Rattus norvegicus: one gene and its partners. The protein of the gene in region 1 binds, or shares a complex with, the protein of each later gene. Links are inferred from orthologs where the notes say so. Each region holds a gene or a part of one and is shown in the gene's direction. Other genes may lie near its edges.

Region 1 (6,266 bases):
TATAAAATGTATATAGTACCACACATTTAAGAATTTAATTGGTTTAACAAAAATATTGCAACATATATGGTTCATAGAGAAAATAGTAAAATTAATTTGAGTGACAGTTGAGAATCATGAGAATGTTAAAATATAAGATACAGATGGATTTGGTGATATCTAGGGGTACTGGCTGGTTCTGTGTGTCACTTCGACCCCAGCTGGAGTTATCACAGAGAAAGGAGCCTCCCTTGAGGAAATGCCTCCATGAGATGCAGCTGTAAGGCATGTTCTCAATTAGTGATCAAGCAGGGAGGCCCCTTTTAGGTGGTGCTGTCCCTGTACTGGTAGTCTTGGGTTCTACAAGAAAGCAAGCTGAGCAAGGCAGGGAAAGCAAGCCAGTGAATAACATCCCTCCATGGCCTCTGCATTGGTGTCTGCTTCCTGCGGTGCGTAAGTTCTAGTCCTGACTTCCTTTGGTGATGAGCAGCAATGTGGAGGTGTAAGTTGAATAAACCCTTTCCTCCCCAATTCGTTTCTTCGTCCTGATGTTTGTGCAGGAATAGAAACCCTGACTAAGACACTAGGCTATTTCCTCGACTTTAACTCTGAAGAATGTGAGTCCTGGAAATTCATAGGCGATAAATGACTGACCGAGTTATGAGTTGTCTCCAGAATTGAATCTTCTTCCTTAGTTCTTTCCTGGCAACTGTAACTATCCTTACAGGCTCCTTCAGGCCATTTCATTTAGGACAAACTGGTGAGCACACCCAATGCCTCTTTCTGTATCCATCCATCTAAAAACACAAGAGTATCCATCCACACAGTAGAATAGCAAGGGGAAGAAAGGGAAGGAGGGGGCTGAAGGCAGAACCGCTGGTTTCAGCTAGGATAAGAATACCAAGGAGCTATTAGAAGACACTGGAAACAGAGAATTTTGCTGAGCAATAGAAATATTTGGGGGGACTGGGAAAATAAGCATGTAGTATTCAGAACAAGGGTAGGGGTAGACAAATATTTATTATTTTGAGTGACACCCGAAAGAGCCTGGGCAAGGCCAGAAAGTGACTGGTATTCAGAGATATTTGAATAGCAGTCTCTATGTACTAAGTTTCACCCTGCTTTGACAAGCAGCTACAGAGGGCTCTGGCTAGGCAAACCTAGTGCCACAGGTTTGTAATCCCAGCTGCTTGGGAGGCTGGGGCAGGGGAACGTTGAATTTTAAGGTCTGTTTGGGTTAAACTGAGTTTAAGGCCAGGCTGGGTAGACATTATTTATGGGAAAAAAAATGTGTTGGCAGAAAGGGTGGTGAGTGGGATTCGGATCATTGACAGAGACCCTATGTTTAGTCCCACAAACAAACAAAATCACACTGGCTAAATCATCTTTGATCCGCAGCTACAGAGGAAGCCTCAGAGTCTCAGATTCCTACAACTTCCTAATGTCCCAGAAAGCTGGGTACGTTTCAGGAGGACAAACACTTTCCTCTTTAATGTCCTCCTAACCCTTGAGAAATTAGTGGCAGGAACCCGAAGAGTTCCTGGGATGCAGGGGTATCAGTAACCCTTCTGTGAACTCCGGTGGAGGACAAGGACTAAAGACAAGTTTCTCTGAGCCCAGTAGGTTAAACCAGCCAGACGTCAGCCATAATCCTTCAATGTCACAGGTGGTGAGATTGTTCCCTCTTGGTCCAGGCCTCCAAATTCTTTCCTGGTTTTTTCCAACTTAAGAGGAGGCAGTAAAAGCCACCGGCAAACAGGACCGGGGTGAAGAGGGGGGCCTGCAAAGAGTCACTCGGTCCTGGCCATTGCTTTCAATTCTGGGATATTCCAGCATCTCTCTTTGCTGTTACTTAAGCAGAAGATTATCAATCATTTGCTTCCCTAGTTGTGCCAGCAGGGTCGCCAGGAGCACGGTGTAGAGCTGCCAGCGGCAGGGGGCTTTAATCTAACCATCCATTTACCCACTCACCCACCCATTCACCCACCTACCCATCCACCCACCCTCTGCCAAGCCCTTCCTCCTGCTTAGCTCAGTTTTGCTCTCCAGGCCTGCGGCGGCGCGGGCGGGGCGCAGGAGCGTGGGTTAGCCAGCGCGGGGGACAGGGCCTGTGCTCCGGAGGGGTTGCGGGGTCGGGAGGCCGGGGAGACCCAGGGGTGTGGCGGCGGCAGAGCCGAGCCCGTCCGAGCCGGCACCTTCGGGCGTCCCTGTCCCACGTGACTGTCGCCTCCTCCCTCCTCCCAGTCGCGCGCGCACGGGTCGGGCGTCTCGACTCCCGCGCGCGCTCGACTGGTCCCAGTCCCCGGGAGGAGAAGCGGAGGAGGGAACGAGCGAGGCGGCCCGGGGGAGCGGGCGCGAGCGGCGGCTGCCAGGGCCGCCTGTGCACCGCGAGGGTGGCGGTGGCCTGAGCAGCGCGAGTGTGATGAGGCTGCCCTGCCTCACTGCTCCGCTCGCAGCCAGCTGACAGCGCCTGCCCTCAGCACGCCCGGAGGGGAACCGCGGGGCCGTGACCTTGGCCGAGGAGGTAACCGGAGAGGGTGGGAGGGGAGGAGGCGGCGCCACCCGGAGTCCCTGGGACCCCCGGCCCCGCACCCGGTCCTCGCCCTGCGACGGCGGGAGCCACAGTCCCCAAAGAGCGGCGCGCTCGGCCGGGCTGGGGCGCTGCGCACGCCGCGGTCCACGGTGCTGAAACTGCTGCCCGGTGTGGCCAGTGCCTGGATGCGGGGCAAGGCAGCCTGCCATTTGCTGCCGCCGAGAGCAAGGGCTGAGCAGGATGAGATGGGACCCAGATTTCTCTGTTCTTCTGGCCGATTGCTCCAGGCTTGTGCAGTTAGCTTGCTCTCTGAGGTGAGCCAGGTGATTGCCTAAGGCTTGACTTCCCACCAGCCTCGGGTTGCCTGGACCTAATTTGGATGCTTTCTTCCAAAGATTAGTCAGGATTAGGTCCAGACTTAGCGCGCTGAGTGAGGTGGCAGCACAGAGGAGCCATGGGCTAGCAGTGAAGGCAGGTGAAAGTGGAAAAGCCTATGCCCAGGCTGTGTGGGGAACCCGAGGCATGGAGAGGAAACGTGTGCCAGAGAACACTTGTGGGGAAGGGGCCTCTGATGCTCCCGTCATGCGAAACTAGCAGGATAGGAGGAGAAAGTGGGCTGCTGCTGTGGGTGTTGGCTTTCTACCCTTTGGGGAGATCCGCATCAAGTGAGCAGCAAGTATCCAGAGAGAGCTGTGGGTATTAGGAAAGTGCCATCCATGGGTTTTTTAAAAAGTGAGTACCTAACACTTTTAAAAAGAGAGTATTCACAAAATGAAGTCCACAAAACCTTAGCCAGTTGACTGTATCTAACTGGAAGGTTGTCTGTTGAAATTTCCTGGGGCTACTATAGATGTAAACTCCTTCCGTTTTTCTTTCTTTCTTTCTTTCTTTCTTTCTTTCTTTCTTTCTTTCTTTCTTTCTTTCTTTCTTTTTTAAAGTCCATGTCCTGTGTTCTCCAGTCAGCCCAGGAATGAAAAAAATTTCTCCCCATGGGTTGGGTACTGTGAACATGAAGATGAGTGTGTGTGTGTGTGTGTGTGTGTGTGTGTGTGTGTGTGTGTTGGGGGGGGGTCTGTTCCCTCCAGGGCTCCTACCAGGATCTCACCAGAGGCTCTCTAATCATTTGCAGGGCAGACTGATCATCCTTGTATCTGAGCTACCAAGTTCTGTGTGAAATGGCTCAGGGGAATAATTATGGCCAGACCAGCAATGGGGTGGCAGAGGAATCACCGAACATGCTGGTGTACAGAAAGGTAAGAGTCCTTCACCTCCCTGGAAAAAGGGGAACTTCAGCTTCCTTTCTTCCTCCCTTTCTTTTTTCTCTCTTTCTTTCCTTTTTTCTTTCCTTCTTTCTTTCTTTTCTTTCTTCCTTCCTTCCTTCCTTTCTTTCTTTTCTTCTTTCTCTCTCCTTATCTTTCATTTTTTCTTCTTCCTTCCTCTTTCTTCTTTCTTTTGTCTGGCTCCGAGTATTTATCAACTTCGTGAACTCCCAGAGCATCAGTGACTATGTACTCTGCTAAAGGACGATCAGATGTTCCCAAGTGACAGGAAGTAAAATAGACCTTGCACATTCCTTGCTGACCGTTACAGTCACCTGTTGTTAGCATCTACACTGTTTGGCTATTCATTGTATTGTGCTGTTCCACTAGATTTAATACCATCCCTTGCGACTCTTTCAGACGGTATTTTCGAAACATTTAGGTTTAATAATGTCTTGAGTGTGCTGCAGTTTGGAAACTAAACGATGGCTTTACAGGTCTCCGGCGAGAATGACTGTATCCGTGGATGTGTAAGCTTTCACCAGTTTGCTCACGGCTAGATGACTCTGGTTCTTTTGGTCTTAACCTAATTTCTTACCTTGCATTATTTCCGTGACGTTATCTATAGCATCTGTGCTATAGTGTCATACATCCCTGGGATAATCTGTACAGTCCCTATTCCCCTTCTGCAAACGCATCTAACTGTTTTCTGCCATGTTTTCGTACTTCTAGACGTTGATCTACGTTTGGGTTTTGCATGTGTTTCAGGATGGTTGCTTAGGTAACCTCAACATGGTTATAATCAACACGTTTGCTAAAATTAAGGAGGCAGTATTCTTTGCATAACTTCTGCATTGGTTTCTCCTTTTGTAGTTTTTACTGGGGTTATTTTTTTTTTTCTTAAGCGTATTACCTGGGGCGTGTCATGGCTCGGGTTTCATTAGTTGGCACTGACAACAGCAAGTGGAAATCCTTCTCTGAGGTCAGGAATGTTATTAAGGGTTTTGATGAGCGGGAGTCCACTGGATTCACTGTGAGTGTAGATCTGTGAGACTGAGCTGATTGTGAAGACAGAGGAAAGGCTGTGTGCTTGCCTTAACCCATGCAGAAATCCTAACTTTACCTGTGTGCCCCAGAGGCATTAGAAGGCAGTCAGGATTGTGCTGGGGGGATATCGATACCACTCTAAGCAGATGCATGATGTTCGGACACAATACCAACTGCTTATCCTGTAGCCTGTGAATGGTGCTATTCTGTATACGTGTAAATGCAGCCAGATGTGTCTGAGACATCACAGAAAGAAGGGGAAGAAAAATAAGGGACTAGCTGACTCCTTCCATCATTTTATCCAAATAGATGAATTAAGACTATCATGCACTTGAACCTAAGTCATTGCTATTACATCCGGACACTGAATGAAGTAACTGTGCTCACGTATTTTACATATAGAGCTGGTCTAGAGGAGAAGAATATTCTGGCGGTAGTTGGGTACTTAGTAACTGATTTTATTTTATGTGGTATGACTTTGAATGTTGTAACATGAAAGATGTGAGGATTTAAAAAAAAATCTGTCCTAGGAGTTTATGCAGTATGGGGAGCTGTACTTCCGAGGGGAAGTTATGGTAGCAAGTTACGTTTGTTAAGCCACACAGCTGGATTCTTTTCCTGTTTGCCTATAAACAATCGACAGACAGCTTGGATGTCATTATTTGAGTGCTTGCTGTACCAACTCTCAGATTACTAAGTTTGAATTTACATTATAAATTTACTTTTATAGTTTCAAATCACTGTTAGTTTTAAATGTAAACTTGTATGTTTCATGGAGATTTTATGGAATCTAACTTTTTGTCCTTCGAGACTATGTAGTTCTGGCTAGATTTTAACCTGCAACCACTCTCCTGACTCTGCCTCTCAATAACATCTCCTCCTTCCTTCCCTCCCTCCCTCCCTCCTTCCCTCCTTCCCTCCTTCCTTCCTTCCATTTCTCTCTTTCTCTCTCTCTCTCTTTCTTTCTTTCTTCCTTTTTTTTAAAACATTATTTCTGGTTGAGCTTAAGACCACTAATGACTTGATTAGCTTTTTGTTCAGCGGGGAAATTGCCTGATAAAACATGACTGAGAAAAAAAATAACCAAGTTCAGTAAGTCTTATGTGTAATGGTGTAATAATAGGTTTAATGCCCAGCCATAGTGTCTGAACAATTTTTGTATGTGTGTAAGTTTGTGGTGTGTGTGTGTGTGTGTGCGTGCGTGTGTGTGTGTGTGCGTGTGCGTGTGCGTGTGTGTGCGTGTGCGTGCGTGTGCGTGTGCGTGTGCGTGTGTGTGTGTGTGTGTGTCATAAGTAATGATTCATTAATAAGACCAGATAGGTCACAAGCACTTTGGCTCATTATCATTCACTAGCCGTTGTGTGAAATGGTCTATGTGTGCACACACAGGCAACCGAGCACCAGGACTCTTGCTCTTGTGGGGCCTTCGCAGCACAGTAGGCTTCCAC
Region 2 (6,008 bases), on another chromosome or scaffold:
GAATGAGCTTCTGCATCAGGTTTCTGCCCTCTTTCTGTTCCTTCCTGTCTTCCTTTGATGATAGATTGTGATGTAGAAATAATCTATTTCCTCCAAAACTTGCTTTTTTGGTCATGGTGTTTCATCACTGCAATAGTACTCCTAACTAGGACAGATATAAGCACAGAATCTACTTATAAGTAAATACAAATCAAATAACTATATTGTTAGCATAATCACAAAAATGTATTAGGAAACCATATATAACAGCTGAGAAAACTGGTTGCTAAGTCCTATCCCAAAAGCCTTCATCCCTGGCTCGCTGAGCAAAACTCTTCTCATGAGAAAAGGATAGCTAGGTTTATCACCATCTAATTCCTTCACTAATTACCAAGTATATAGTGAGAGCCTACTGTACAGTGCCAGCAGTGTTCTAGATATTCAGTGTACCACCATGATTGTGACTGGGAAGATATTTCTTGTTTTGTCTCTTACATCCCAGTACTTAGACGTTGTTATTACTTGATGTGGATAGTGCTCCAAAGACTCTTTCACTGGAAGCTTTGTCCTCAGCGTGGACGTGTTAATACGGTAAAACTTTAAGAGGTGGGACCTAGTAGAAGGCAATTAGTTTGTGGGGTCTCTACTCTCACTAGTGGATGAATGCTTCATGCTGAGAGTCAGTAGGGCTTTGTGCGACTAGATTGTCATAAAAACCCTGTTTAGTCCTCCTCTCGATGCCAATTGGCTTCTCTCTCCCTCCTCAATATATTACTGAGCATCATACTGTCTTCCATGCTCTCCAGAAGGCCATCACCAGTCACCCAAATCAGGGACCACCTGATCTTGGACACCCACTGTGCAAAGCTAAGAGCTAAACAAACATTTTTCCTTACTTATCAGTATATAATGATAGAAACCCAGAATAGCCTAAGGTATTTTCTTGCCAGAACAAAATGATATATAGTACAGTAAGTCTCTTGGACTGGCATGAGTGACACTATTGTTAGTTGGGGACTAAAATAAACCTGGGATTTTCTACATGTGTCTTCTTGAGGAATTCGAAAGTGGAGGCCCACTTGGAAAGTGCAGATGCAACAGGGAAATGTCACAGGAAACTTCAAGTGATACACCCAGGTGGCTTAGGGGCCCTTCCCAATTCTTTAAGGAGCTGACACATCTCTGGAGCCCTCCCTTGAAGTCTGAGCTGTTTTTCATCAATTCCAGTAACTCACCGACAGTGACTTTGTATCCCACACACACTAGGGATTCACTCGTTTTCGTCCTCATTCTCTCACAGTCTACAACACGCAATTCTTGGTCATGTCCCCTCTCCACACATCTTTATTGTCAGAGCTCCGCTTTCATTCTGGCTCCGAAGAAGAGGATTCCTTAAATATGACATTTATTTTTCCTTGACGCTCAGCCAGTAGATGTCTCCATTACTCTCTCACAGCTAAGACCATCATTGGAAGGCCAGGTTTAATCATTTCCTTAACCGACAATGAGGAAGAGAATTTGATAATTTGCCTAAAAAAATGAGCAGATGCTAAGAAGGACACGTTTCCATCCTACGTTCCCTCCTCCCCAGTTTCAGTCAGAAATGAAAACTACTCTCTTCTCCCTCTTTTCCAGGCAAAAGGAAGGGCTGATCTAACTAAGCAAGCCAGATGCCTACAGCCTCCTCCTGCTCAGTAGCCCAAGTTTCCTTCGCTTTCAGCCACCAAAAGCGCCGCTTCTCTCCTCTTTCCCGCCCACTCCTCGCCACCCCTGCAGGTTTCCGAGTCATCAGGGAACACGAGTGGGTGAAAGCAGCGCCGCCGCCTCCTCCTCCGCCTCCTCAGTGCGCCTCGGGTTCAGCACTGGACAGCTCCCGCCCCAGCCAACAAATGGCAGTCAGCTGATTGACAGAGGCGCCGACCAAACAGGGCACAAGACGACTTGAAGCCGCCCTAGAAGGGTTTGGTTGCGGCCAAGCTGTCTCTTTAAACTGGTTTCATCTGAGAGCAGGGAGAGGCAGCGGTGCGGTTTGTGGTAAGGGCTCCAGTTAACCAGCTGCCTGGCAGTCTGGACTCCAGAGACACAAACGTCTTCAAAGAAAACCTGGGTTCCTTGGGACTCGCCGCTGAGCTCGCGGCGTGGATCTGTGTGCGCGCTTTCATCTCGGGGCGAAAGGGTCGAGGAGGGGCCACAGCCAGGAGGCGGGAACGACCTGCCAAGGGTGAGATGATGGAGCAGCGTCTTCAGTGGCCGCGGTGGCAGCATCAGCAGCATCAGCAGCATCAGCACCAGCTCTTGAACACACCTCAATGAGAGCGGCGGTGGAAGCGGCTGAGCAGAAAGACGTAAGCCGGCTAACTATAGCTGCCGGGGATGTAACCTGTTTGGCTCAAGGCTGCGAGGTGCGTAATCCCGAGCCGACCCATTGTGGAGCGGGACACAGCCAGCATTGCCACAGGTGATTTGGGTCTGTGACGGCAGCTGAACCAGCTGGGCCAATTTCAAAACATTCTTATTTTAAAGTCCATCTGGACTGGGCTCCACCTGGAGAAGGAAGCCTCTCCCCCAAAAGTCTTACTGGTGATAAATTAAGGACCGAAATTTACAAAGTGACTCCTCCGGTTATCTCCTCTCTTCTGTGCTAGACAGATGGGAGCCATGGCTTACTCTTTACTCCTCTGCCTCCTGCTCGCTCATCTGGGATTGGGAGAGGTTGGTGCCAGCCTCGACCCTTCAGAACGGCCAGATTCTTCTCGAGAGAGGACTTCGAGGGGGAAGCAGCACGGTCAGCAGCTGCCGCGAGCCTCTGCCCCGGACCCCTCTATTCCCTGGAGCCGCTCCACAGACGGCACCATCTTGGCACAAAAACTAGCCGAGGAGGTGCCCATGGACGTGGCCTCTTACCTCTATACTGGGGACTTCCACCAGCTGAAGAGAGCCAACTGCTCAGGCCGCTATGAGTTGGCGGGCCTGCCGGGGAAGTCACCGTCCCTAGCCAGCTCCCATCCTTCCTTGCACGGGGCGCTGGACACTCTGACACACGCCACCAACTTCCTCAACATGATGTTGCAGAGCAATAAGTCTCGGGAGCAGACCGTGCAGGATGACCTGCAGTGGTACCAGGCTTTGGTGCGAAGTCTCCTGGAGGGAGAGCCCAGCATCTCCCGGGCGGCCATCACCTTCAGCACCGAGTCGCTGTCCACGCCCGCCCCGCAAGTCTTCCTCCAGGCCACCCGTGAGGAGAGTCGCATCCTGCTGCAGGACCTGTCCTCCTCCGCTCACCACCTGGCTAACGCCACTCTGGAGACCGAGTGGTTCCACGGGCTTCGGCGAAAGTGGAGGCCCCACTTGCACCGCCGCGGCTCCAATCAGGGGCCACGGGGCCTGGGCCACAGCTGGCGGCGCAGGGATGGGCTTGGCGGGGACAGGAGCCATGTCAAGTGGTCTCCACCTTTTCTGGAGTGCGAGAATGGGAGTTACAAGCCCGGGTGGCTGGTCACTCTCTCTGCTGCCTTCTACGGGCTTCAACCTAACCTGGTCCCGGAATTCAGGTAGGAAGAGGGTTGGATAGGGCACACACAGAGTCATCTTTTGGTTTTGTAAATAGGCACTCTGGGGAAACACACTTGTCTGCCAGTGAGACTTAAGTCTCCAGCCTTGGAACAGAACTTCAGACTAAGAGAAGTCCAGGCGAGCTCATGCGCGGAGGGGTGACAAATGCCCGGTCTGTCTGCTTTAGGCACTCACGGAAAGCCATTCCCTGGTGTGCAGCGGCAGCGGGGCTTGGGGGATGTAGCAATTGGTCTCAATCCTTCCATAGCACAAGGGGAGAAGGTTAACAACTCTGTCCCCGAACTTTGGGAGAGCTTGGGCTGTGCCCATCAGAGTCAAGAACACCAGTTGTGCGTGTGAGTATGTGTGTGTGTGTGTGTGTGTGTGTGTGTGTGTGTGTGTGTGAGAGAGAGAGAGAGAGAGAGAGAGAGAGAGAGAGAGAGAGAGAGAGAGAGAGAGAGAGAGAACTACAAGGATACAAGGAGTGAGAATTCCTTGAATCTGTCACTTTGGGATAGCCTCTGCCCACTTCCTGTGAGTGTAGTCTGGAGCGCAAGCCTGCTGTTAGTCAGCTACCAGAGCGTGTAATTAAACCTGTGCCATCCCCTGGGCAGTTCTGGCCACTCAGCACTGAGTCACTCAGCAGCAGAGCCATCTCCAGGATCCAGAGTACTCCTATTGGCTTCCCCCCTTCTTCTCTAGTCATCAGCTTTCCTTCCTGGTGTCTTCCTCCTCCTGTTCTCCTTAGGCACAGCTGAAGGTTCTCCATGAGAGTTGGGGAGGGAGGAATCAGTCTCACCCAAACAGGAAACTAGGAAGAGACTTTAGTAGCTCTCCCGATGGCGTCATAGGAAAGCTCTCACTCTCAGATTAGAACTGTTACCCATCAGCTCCACAGTGAGGGACTTCTAGAAGTAGCCTTTCAGGGATGGATGCAAGGAAGGAATGGAGGGGAGGGAGGAGAACCTGCAGAGAGGGATTTGGAGAGAACTGATGTTGATGGGGTTTACCAGAGACCCCGATGGGAAACTGCAAAGAACCAGAGGGGGGTTGGAATTGATATATATATATATATATATATATATATAATATATATTTATATATATTATATATATAATTATATATATATATATTTAATTATTTATTTATATATATTATATATATATATTATATATATATATATTTAATTATTTAACATTTTTGAGATTTGGAAAAAGCGATCTCTCTCTCTCTCTCTCTCTCTCTCTCTCTCTCCCTCTCCCTCTCCCTCTCTCTCTCTCTTTCTCTCTCTCTCTCTCTCTCTCTCTCTCTGTGTGTGTGTGTGTGTGTGTGTGTGTGTGTGTGTGTGTGTGCATGTGCTTGAACATACCAGGGCAAGCAATGGGTAGGAAATCCCAGGAAAGTAGAAGCACTGCCTCCGATGAAGTTGTTTAACCTCGCTGGGCCCCGGGCACTTATCTATCAACTGAGAGAATCGAAACAGTTTGTCTCTAGGGAAATACACAGTCATAAAATCCTGTAGCCTTTATTTCCTGCCAGCTTGAAACGGCACAGATGAAGACCCCCCTTTCTTCTTTGTTTCTGCATGAACCCCTACGTGTGTTTATGGTTCTTTTAAAGATCCTACCTTAAACTACAGCAACTTTCCTACTTTCAGGATAATCTCATTTCCTCCTGGTTCTTCCAGGATCCTAGTAGTAAACGTGTCAGACCAGCTTCAAATCCTTGCCACAGCGTTTTCTTACAAGAGGGCCCAGCAGATGCCACTTGGAGCCCATGAACCATGGCTGTTAGATGATACCTTTTAGAGTCTCAGGATCGACCTCTCTCCCTTCTTTTCTCTCTCTCCTTCTCTCCTCTCTTCTCCCTGTTCCCCATCTTCCCCAACTGGCTCTGTCTCACTTTTGCTTGATGTTAGTCTATGTGCTGTATACTTGATGGTAAGTTCTGTGTTGACTGCTTGGTATGACTATCTTGGCAACTTTTTCCAGCAGTCTTCATAGTTATGTGTTATTGTTTTCTGTATTTTTGAATAAGGGCATATGGAACACGGAGGGGCTAAGTTTTATGACTGATCATACAGTTATTAAATAAAGGAGTCAAGATGCAAGCTTATGCTTACTTTATGCTTTTAACTAGTATGCAGTTTCCTAAAGATGACTTAGTGAGCTGGAAGTAAGCTTGCATATAAATGGTATTATTTCCAAGGGCCAGATGTAGGATGAGGACAAAGACCATTTGGATTTAGAACTGCTTCTCTCTCTCTCTCTCTCTCTCTCTCTCTCTCTCTCTCTCTCTGTCTCCCTCCTCTATTTGTCTTTTAGTCTGCCCTGTTTTTTTTTCAACTACCCCCTCTTTCTCCCACACTTTGGCGATGTAACCTGGGCACAATACACATTAGCCAATTATTGACCCACATTTCCAGCTCCTAGACTATTTTTCTTATGATCAGAAAATGTATGTTGTTTCAATGTACC
Region 3 (6,166 bases), on another chromosome or scaffold:
GCTTCAAACAAAGAGCCCTACGGCCCGTCTTCAAGAAATCTCAACAACTCAACTACTGCTCCCCATGTGCAGAGATCGTGAGTTCTATTTTCCTTTCATCTCGTTCTTTTAAGTTCCTTGCCTTAACGTGGTGTCTATGCAAGCCTGCGGCAGACAAGTTACACAGAGAAGGTTTGTAGGACGCGTTCCCAGACCCCAGAAGACTGTGCTGTCCGCCTGGCATCCTGGCCTGCAGGTTATCCTAGGCTGTAGGGGCTCCCGTTGTCACCAATTTCCTGAGGCCGATTTTCCCACTGGTGAGATTGAAATGCTAACAGATTTGGACTTTGAGGCTTTGTGAGGGTCATGTGAGATCAGGGCAAAGTGTCCAAAACACTCCTCATGAGGGGCTAATGATTTTTGCTTCTGTCTCCTCCCAGCCTGCCTAACGAGCCACCAAGCTAGAAGAAATTCTGGCAGACAAACAATCCCAGGGGACCTGTCCAAGCTTCCTCTTTAGCTGTTTGGATGGCCTGGCTGATCTTGCCTAAGCAGAGAGCCAAACCAAACTCCAGAGCTCCTGAGCCCACCCACTGGGCAGGGCAGAAACTGAACAGAAATCCCGACTTACTTTCTCAAAGTACATCAAATCTTGCCCTCCCCAAAGCTACCCCAGGCTTCGGATTATCACTGAAAAAGTGTATTCAGCCCTGGGAATCTTTAGTCCCTGTCTTAGAAGATCCACCGGGCTGTGCGCAAAGCGATGGCTCACCAGTGCCCCCATCTGGTAACAGGTGGTACTGCACCCTTTCCTGATAGCCCAACTGGAGCACTGCACGTGTGGTATACAGACATACATACAGACAAAACACCCATATACATGACATAAAAATAAATACATAAATCCTTAAATTTTAGATCAAAATATGTGTTTATTTTATGTATATGAGAGGCTCGCCTGCATATATGTCTGTGAACCATGTCATGCCTGGTGTCAATGGAGCCAGATCAGGGCACTGAATTCCCTGGAACTTAACATTATTAAGAATTGTGAACCACCACATGGGTGATGGGAAGAAAAACTGGGTCCTCTGGAAGAACATTAGGTATTTTTAACTGCTGAGCCATCGCCCCAACCCTTGACTCTGTGTGTGTACACATTATATGCATATACACTTAAACGTATGTAGCCTGGTTTATCCATTTAGTAAGTGAGCATAAGCTCATCGCTTCCATAAGCCAACGTTCTGCTAAATTCTGAGGCTAAAACGATGGATAAGGTGCCAGGCATGACAGTGCACATGTTTAATCCCAGCACCCGAGAGGCAGAGGTAGATTGAGCAACATGACTTCTGGGCCAGCCTGCTCTACAAAGGGTGCTGCAGGGAAGCCAGGGCTATAAAGAGGGAGACATGGACAGAAGGGTGGGGGAGAGCAGGGAAGGGGAGCACAGAGAGAGGCCGAGACAGAGACAAAGACAGACAGACAGAGGCATAGGGAATGAAAATGGGTGGTGGATAACCCTCTATTGAAGAGAAAGGAGAAGCAACTGACAGAGAGGTATCCTCCAGTCTCCTCCCCAGCATCTAATTCTCAGAAAGCCCTGGGATGCAGACTTTTCCAGATAAGGAAATGGAGACTCCCAGAATCTTGCCTAAAACACAGGTATGTGTACATTAATACAATACTTTCTCAGACTGAGAAGGCCCAGAACAGATGCATACGTGCACACACACACACACACACACACACACACACACACACACACAGGCCAGCACTGGAGACTGCTTCTGCAGTGTTCAGCCCAGAATTTGTGAACTTGGTCCTCCTTCCCATCCTAAAGGTCATGGAGAAAAGGGAGAAGGCCTAAGTGAGAGCCTATCAGTGAACCTGAACTGCCCGGGTCCTAACCCTGCCTTCTTCTCTTCCTGGAAGTGTGACACTGAGTGTTCACGGCCTTTTGTCCCTACTCTGCAAAAATAGCTTGGAGGTGGGGTGGGAGGTGGGGTGTCTGGGATTCCTTTCACAGCGACTCAGGTGAGCACTGAAAGTGTCACCAAGGAACCTAGCCCAGTGAAGTGTAGCTGCAGAGGAGCCACTGGAGTCATCAAATTGTTAAGGTCAATAAAACATAAGCAGGGCTGGAGAGATGGCTCAGCGGTTAAGAGCACTGACTGCTCTTCCAGAGGTCCTGAGTTCAAATCCCAGCAACCACATGGTGGCTCACAACCATCTGTAATGAGATCTGATGCCCTCTTCCTGGTGTGTCTGAAGACAGTGGCAGTGTACTCATATATAATAAATAAATCTTAAAGAAATAAAATAAAACATAAGCAAACCTTCATTCCAAAAGAGAGGACGCCCCTGACCCCAGCAAGGTCTGCCCCTGACTCATGCTTTTGTTGTCTTAACCCAGAACCCAGGCAGTCAGAACTCATTTTTAAAAGAATGTTTCAACTAGTGGGCTGTGAGGCACCTGTATGAAGCCTCCTGCCCCCAAGTCCCCGGGATGCCAAGGGCTGGGCGGTATAGGTTGGACTTCAGTAAGCACCCCTGGAGCCAGGAGACCAGAGTTTGTGGGCCATAGCGTGGTCTGCGAGCCTCAGTTTATTCTAGCCTCCTACCCTCACCCACCCCCACTCTCACCCCAACTCCCATCCCCACCCCCACTGTCCCACCTCCGAGCATCGCCCCGCCCGGTTCTCAGGGAGGGCGCGGTGGGCGGAGCCAGCAGAGTCTGTCACCGCAGCGCTCGCGTCACTGCCGAGGGGGCGGGCCCGGGGTGGCGTTCGGGGTCACGGAGGCTGCTGCTGCGCCCGCCCTCCCGTCGGGCCCCCGCGTCGATTCACAATCTCCCGCTTTGCGTTTCTCTCCCGGCTGCATCCGGACGAAGATGGCAACCGATGGGCTGCACGAGAACGAGACGCTGGCGTCGCTGAAGAGCGAGGCCGAGAGCCTCAAGGGCAAGCTAGAGGAGGAGCGGGCGAAGCTGCATGACGTGGAGCGTGAGTGCGAGCAGGGGGTGGAAGGGAAGCTCTCGGCCGGAGTGGACCAGACTCTCCAAGGGGCTGGCGGACCTGCGTGGGACCGATTCCAACGTCCCTGATGGGAGGATGCCGAGCCCCTCCCAGGGGGCGGGTGGGGAGGTGGTGACAGCAGGTGCGGGCGGGCGAGGAGAGACCGCTTTACAGTTCCACGTTGGGCTTCTCTGCCCCTGTCAGGTCCCTTCCTCTGCGTGGATTTTGAAGCTCCCTTTCCCATCTCTCCACTGTCCTTGGGGGCAGGGAGCTGGATGGCGGAGGGAAGCCGATGTGCTTTCTGCATCCGCCGGCTCGGCTTGGGGTAGGCCCTTTTAGGAGTGTTTGATGGATGCTGCGGCTGACATAAAAGAGCTAACGCGGTATAAATAAACTTGCCAGCGTGCCCGCATCCCAGAGACTCTCGGCCAGAGAGAGAACAGAGCTCGGAGTAGGGACCCTGCTTGGGCAGTGGTCTTACCCGTTCACCCTCCCTTACTTACGTACTCCCTTTCAAGGCCTGCCAGCCCCCAACCCTAACACACTTCTGTACGGTGCGCCCCCCCCCCACGCCCCTGCCCACCTTCCTAATAGGCCTTGATCTTTTCAGTTCCATTTAGAGAAGGGAACTGGGGGTCAGAGTGAGGCCTTTAGTGTTTAATTTCTTTGAAACTTGCTGGAAGTACAAAACCCTGGTTGTCTGCTCTCGGGGCCTTCTCTTAAGTTAGGAAGGGGCAGCTAACTCCTGTGTGGTTAGAAATGTGCTCAGATGTAAGTGGTTAAATGGTGGGTTTTGGTAACAAGATCAGGTCTGGTGCAGCTACCTGGTGCTTTGAGGGACTCACGCGTTTCCACGCCTTATCGCTGGCACTTATTTACCCAGTGATCCCAAGATGACTGCCACCGCTCCAAACGTTGCCCCTGTATCCAAAGCAGGAAGAAGGGAGAGTGTGAACACCGGGGCTCTTTTCCTTCTTAGGGAAAAAGCAAACATTTCCCAGAATTCCTCTCCTCCCAACATTTCTATCTGCACTTCATAGGCCATGTGGCCCCTGCCAGGGAGTCTGAAAAAGGGGGAGCCAGGCTGAGCATGTTGCCAGCCCTAAATGAGAAGTGAGGAGTAGGTATCAGCTGCGTGACATGGGCCTGCCTTCTCAGAGCCTTGTATGCTACAGATAGATGATGGTGTTGCCTCATCTTGGTATCAGTGCCTTGGACTTCTCCACTTGACAGCTTAGTCTTGTGGCTTGAGCAGTCTTTTTGAAGCCCCACACCGATGGCCCTTATGACATGAGCCCCCCACTCTAGCACAACCCTTCAGCCCACACAGAGAAACCCTTGTCTTGTCGTCTCTCCATCCCTTAAAGTCCCACTCTGACCACAGTGTCTTCCAGGTCCTTAGGAACCCTGGCTCTCTCCTGTACCTGGAAGCCCTGTCCTGTGTTCCGTCACTTCCCTGACATCAGCACAGACATTTTGATCAACTTCTGGAAGTCTTGCTGAGGGACATTGACTCTGGCCCTCCTGCCCCCTCCCCAGCCATGGATGTAGCCATCCTCCTGTCTCCTCTCGCTGAACTCCAGGGGCTACTGAAGAGAGGGCACCAAGAGACCTCTGTGGTCAGTGGCTAAGTGACCCCTGCATTGCCCTTAGTCAGATTTACCCTGGCAACTGTAAGACGTCAGCAATCTGTGGGAGTCTCTGTTCTGCCCACCTTTTATTTCCCTCACAGAAAGTGGGAGGTAAAAGAAGTGAGAGGCCTGTTTATAGATCTGAGTTCATAGATTTAGCCCTCGTCCCCTGCACACCTGCAAGGGTCAGCTTCCCCTCTCTCCTCATCTCAGGATACCCCTCCTCATCTTTAATTTCCCTTCCATCTCTCTACCTCTGAAAACAGTCACACACACACACACACACACACACACACACACACACACACACCTCTATCTTTTACTCACACAGTTTGTCAGCCCCTAGTGTGTCTGCCTCTGCTTGGTCCATAAAGATGCTGCAGTGAACAAATCAAGAATGTTCCCTTGTAAGTCTTTGGTCCAAAGGCTTCTAGAAGTTGGTCATTCAATAGGTAAGATGAGATTGGGTTAGACACGTGCTCTGGATAGAAGAGAGGGGGTGGGGATGTGGGAAATGAGTCTGGGGGAGCTCAGAGACTTCCAGAGACTGTGAGCTGGAGTGGCTCCCAGAAAGGATCTTTGAATGCAGACTCCTTACCTGTGTAAAGGACAGACTGTCCCAGAAAAGAGCATTTGAAATAAAGCAGCAGCACAAGCTGGGTCAAGGGAGCATTGATGTAGTGAGGCAAAGCTGAGGCAGGGGACTATGTTTGCTGTACTTAGGGAAAGCTGAGGCTATGTCTGGAGAGGCATAAACAGGAGTAGAGAAGAAAGTGGGGTTACAATGGGAGCTATTGGAGCATGGAGGGACATAGCGAAGGATTGGGTGCTATGCATGTGTGTGTGCACACGCACGTGTGCGTGTGAATGTGTAGAGACCTGAGGTAAACTAAGGTGAATGCTGTTCACCTTGGTTTTTATAAACAAGTCTCTCGTTTTACCTGGACCAAGTATGTAGGCCAGGCTGGCCAATGAGCTTGAGGGATCCTCCTGTCTCCGCCTCCCTGGACTGGAATGACAAGTGTGAGCCACTACAGCCAACTTGATTGACACTTAGGTCCTGATTCATGTGCCATCTCCCCAGCCCTAGGACTTGGGATTTCAAAAAGACTGAGTGAACTGACCCACAGACATGGGTTTTTTTGTTTTGTTTTTGTTTGTTTTATTTTGTTTTTGTTTTCTAAATCACCTCTCAATTTTTTATTTGTGTATGTGCATCCCCACAGAACACAGAAGACTGACTGGCCCTATGAAAACTAAGCTAACTTTCTTTTAAAACTTTCTGGGGAGGGGCACAATGAGACGGCTCAACAGGTTGTGGCCAAGGCCTAAGGACCCTGGTTGTATCCCTTGGGCCCACTTGGAAGAAAGAGACAGACAGCTTTGAGCTGTCTTCTGAGGTCCACATATGACACGTGAATAATTGGATAAAATAAATATAATTTTAAAAGAAATTTAAGGGTGAATGAAAAATCAATTATGAGTCATAGCTTGGTTGGTAGGGACAGGCCTGGGTTCCATTCTCTGCACGACAGAATG

What was found.
Region 2: the proteins of Rgs7 (region 1) and Gpr158 are in contact, whole or in part, in a cryo-EM structure (PDB 7SHF), measured with the Homo sapiens proteins. The link is inferred for Rattus norvegicus from reciprocal best matches to the Homo sapiens genes RGS7 and GPR158. Residues at the interface, in NP_001351815.1 of Homo sapiens: Gln35, Ile43, Ser55, Arg109, Phe110, Thr112, Pro113, Tyr114, Phe115, Lys134, Thr136, Lys140, Ala141, Arg142, Leu143, Leu145, Ala146, Asp147, Ala150, Leu153, Gln157, Trp164, Phe168, Met169, Gln170, Glu172, Ala173, Gln174, Lys176, Val177; in NP_065803.2 of Homo sapiens: Leu507, Lys508, Phe510, Leu511, Arg513, Thr514, Tyr595, Tyr598, Ala599, Thr602, Val603, Pro604, Ile714, Arg715, Leu718, Lys719, Tyr722, Leu725, Glu726, Tyr728, Lys729, Arg730, Met733, Ile734, Thr735, Asn736, Asn737.
Region 3: the proteins of Rgs7 (region 1) and Gnb5 are in contact, whole or in part, in a cryo-EM structure (PDB 7EWP), measured with the Homo sapiens proteins. The link is inferred for Rattus norvegicus from reciprocal best matches to the Homo sapiens genes RGS7 and GNB5. Residues at the interface, in NP_001351815.1 of Homo sapiens: Pro19, Leu22, Val23, Lys26, Val30, Ile72, Val76, Glu77, His80, Leu81, Leu84, His88, Val207, Asp213, Ile214, Lys215, Lys216, Leu258, Gln261, Ile262, Trp265, Gln266, Gln268, Leu269, Arg271, His272, Arg273, Leu274, Lys275, Met276; in NP_057278.2 of Homo sapiens: Leu57, Glu60, Ala61, Glu62, Leu64, Lys65, Leu68, Glu71, Lys74, Leu75, His76, Asp77, Val78, Glu79, Leu80, Val83, Leu90, Phe93, Arg98, Arg99, Leu109, Lys117, Arg118, Ser134, Phe135, Trp149, Met151, Leu167, Tyr197, Ser206.

What each region holds. Positions count from the first base shown.
Region 1 is NC_086031.1:89,937,072-89,943,337, reverse strand, and holds the start of Rgs7 (regulator of G-protein signaling 7), read left to right. Parts: upstream 1-2,287; 5' UTR 2,288-2,503; intron 2,504-2,582; exon of another isoform or gene 2,583-2,826; intron 2,827-2,883; exon of another isoform or gene 2,884-3,244; intron 3,245-3,641; 5' UTR 3,642-3,687; coding exon 3,688-3,765; intron 3,766-6,266. UniProt on the Homo sapiens protein: GTPase activator component of the RGS7-GNB5 complex that regulates G protein-coupled receptor signaling cascades.
Region 2 is NC_086035.1:88,740,898-88,746,905, forward strand, and holds the start of Gpr158 (metabotropic glycine receptor precursor), read left to right. Parts: upstream 1-1,925; 5' UTR 1,926-2,628; coding exon 2,629-3,530; intron 3,531-6,008. UniProt on the Homo sapiens protein: Metabotropic receptor for glycine that controls synapse formation and function in the brain. Acts as an atypical G-protein coupled receptor that recruits and regulates the RGS7-GNB5 complex instead of activating G proteins.
Region 3 is NC_086026.1:84,953,864-84,960,029, forward strand, and holds the start of Gnb5 (guanine nucleotide-binding protein subunit beta-5), read left to right. Parts: upstream 1-2,765; 5' UTR 2,766-2,872; coding exon 2,873-2,984; intron 2,985-6,166. UniProt on the Homo sapiens protein: Enhances GTPase-activating protein (GAP) activity of regulator of G protein signaling (RGS) proteins, such as RGS7 and RGS9, hence involved in the termination of the signaling initiated by the G protein coupled receptors (GPCRs) by accelerating the GTP hydrolysis on the G-alpha subunits, thereby promoting their inactivation.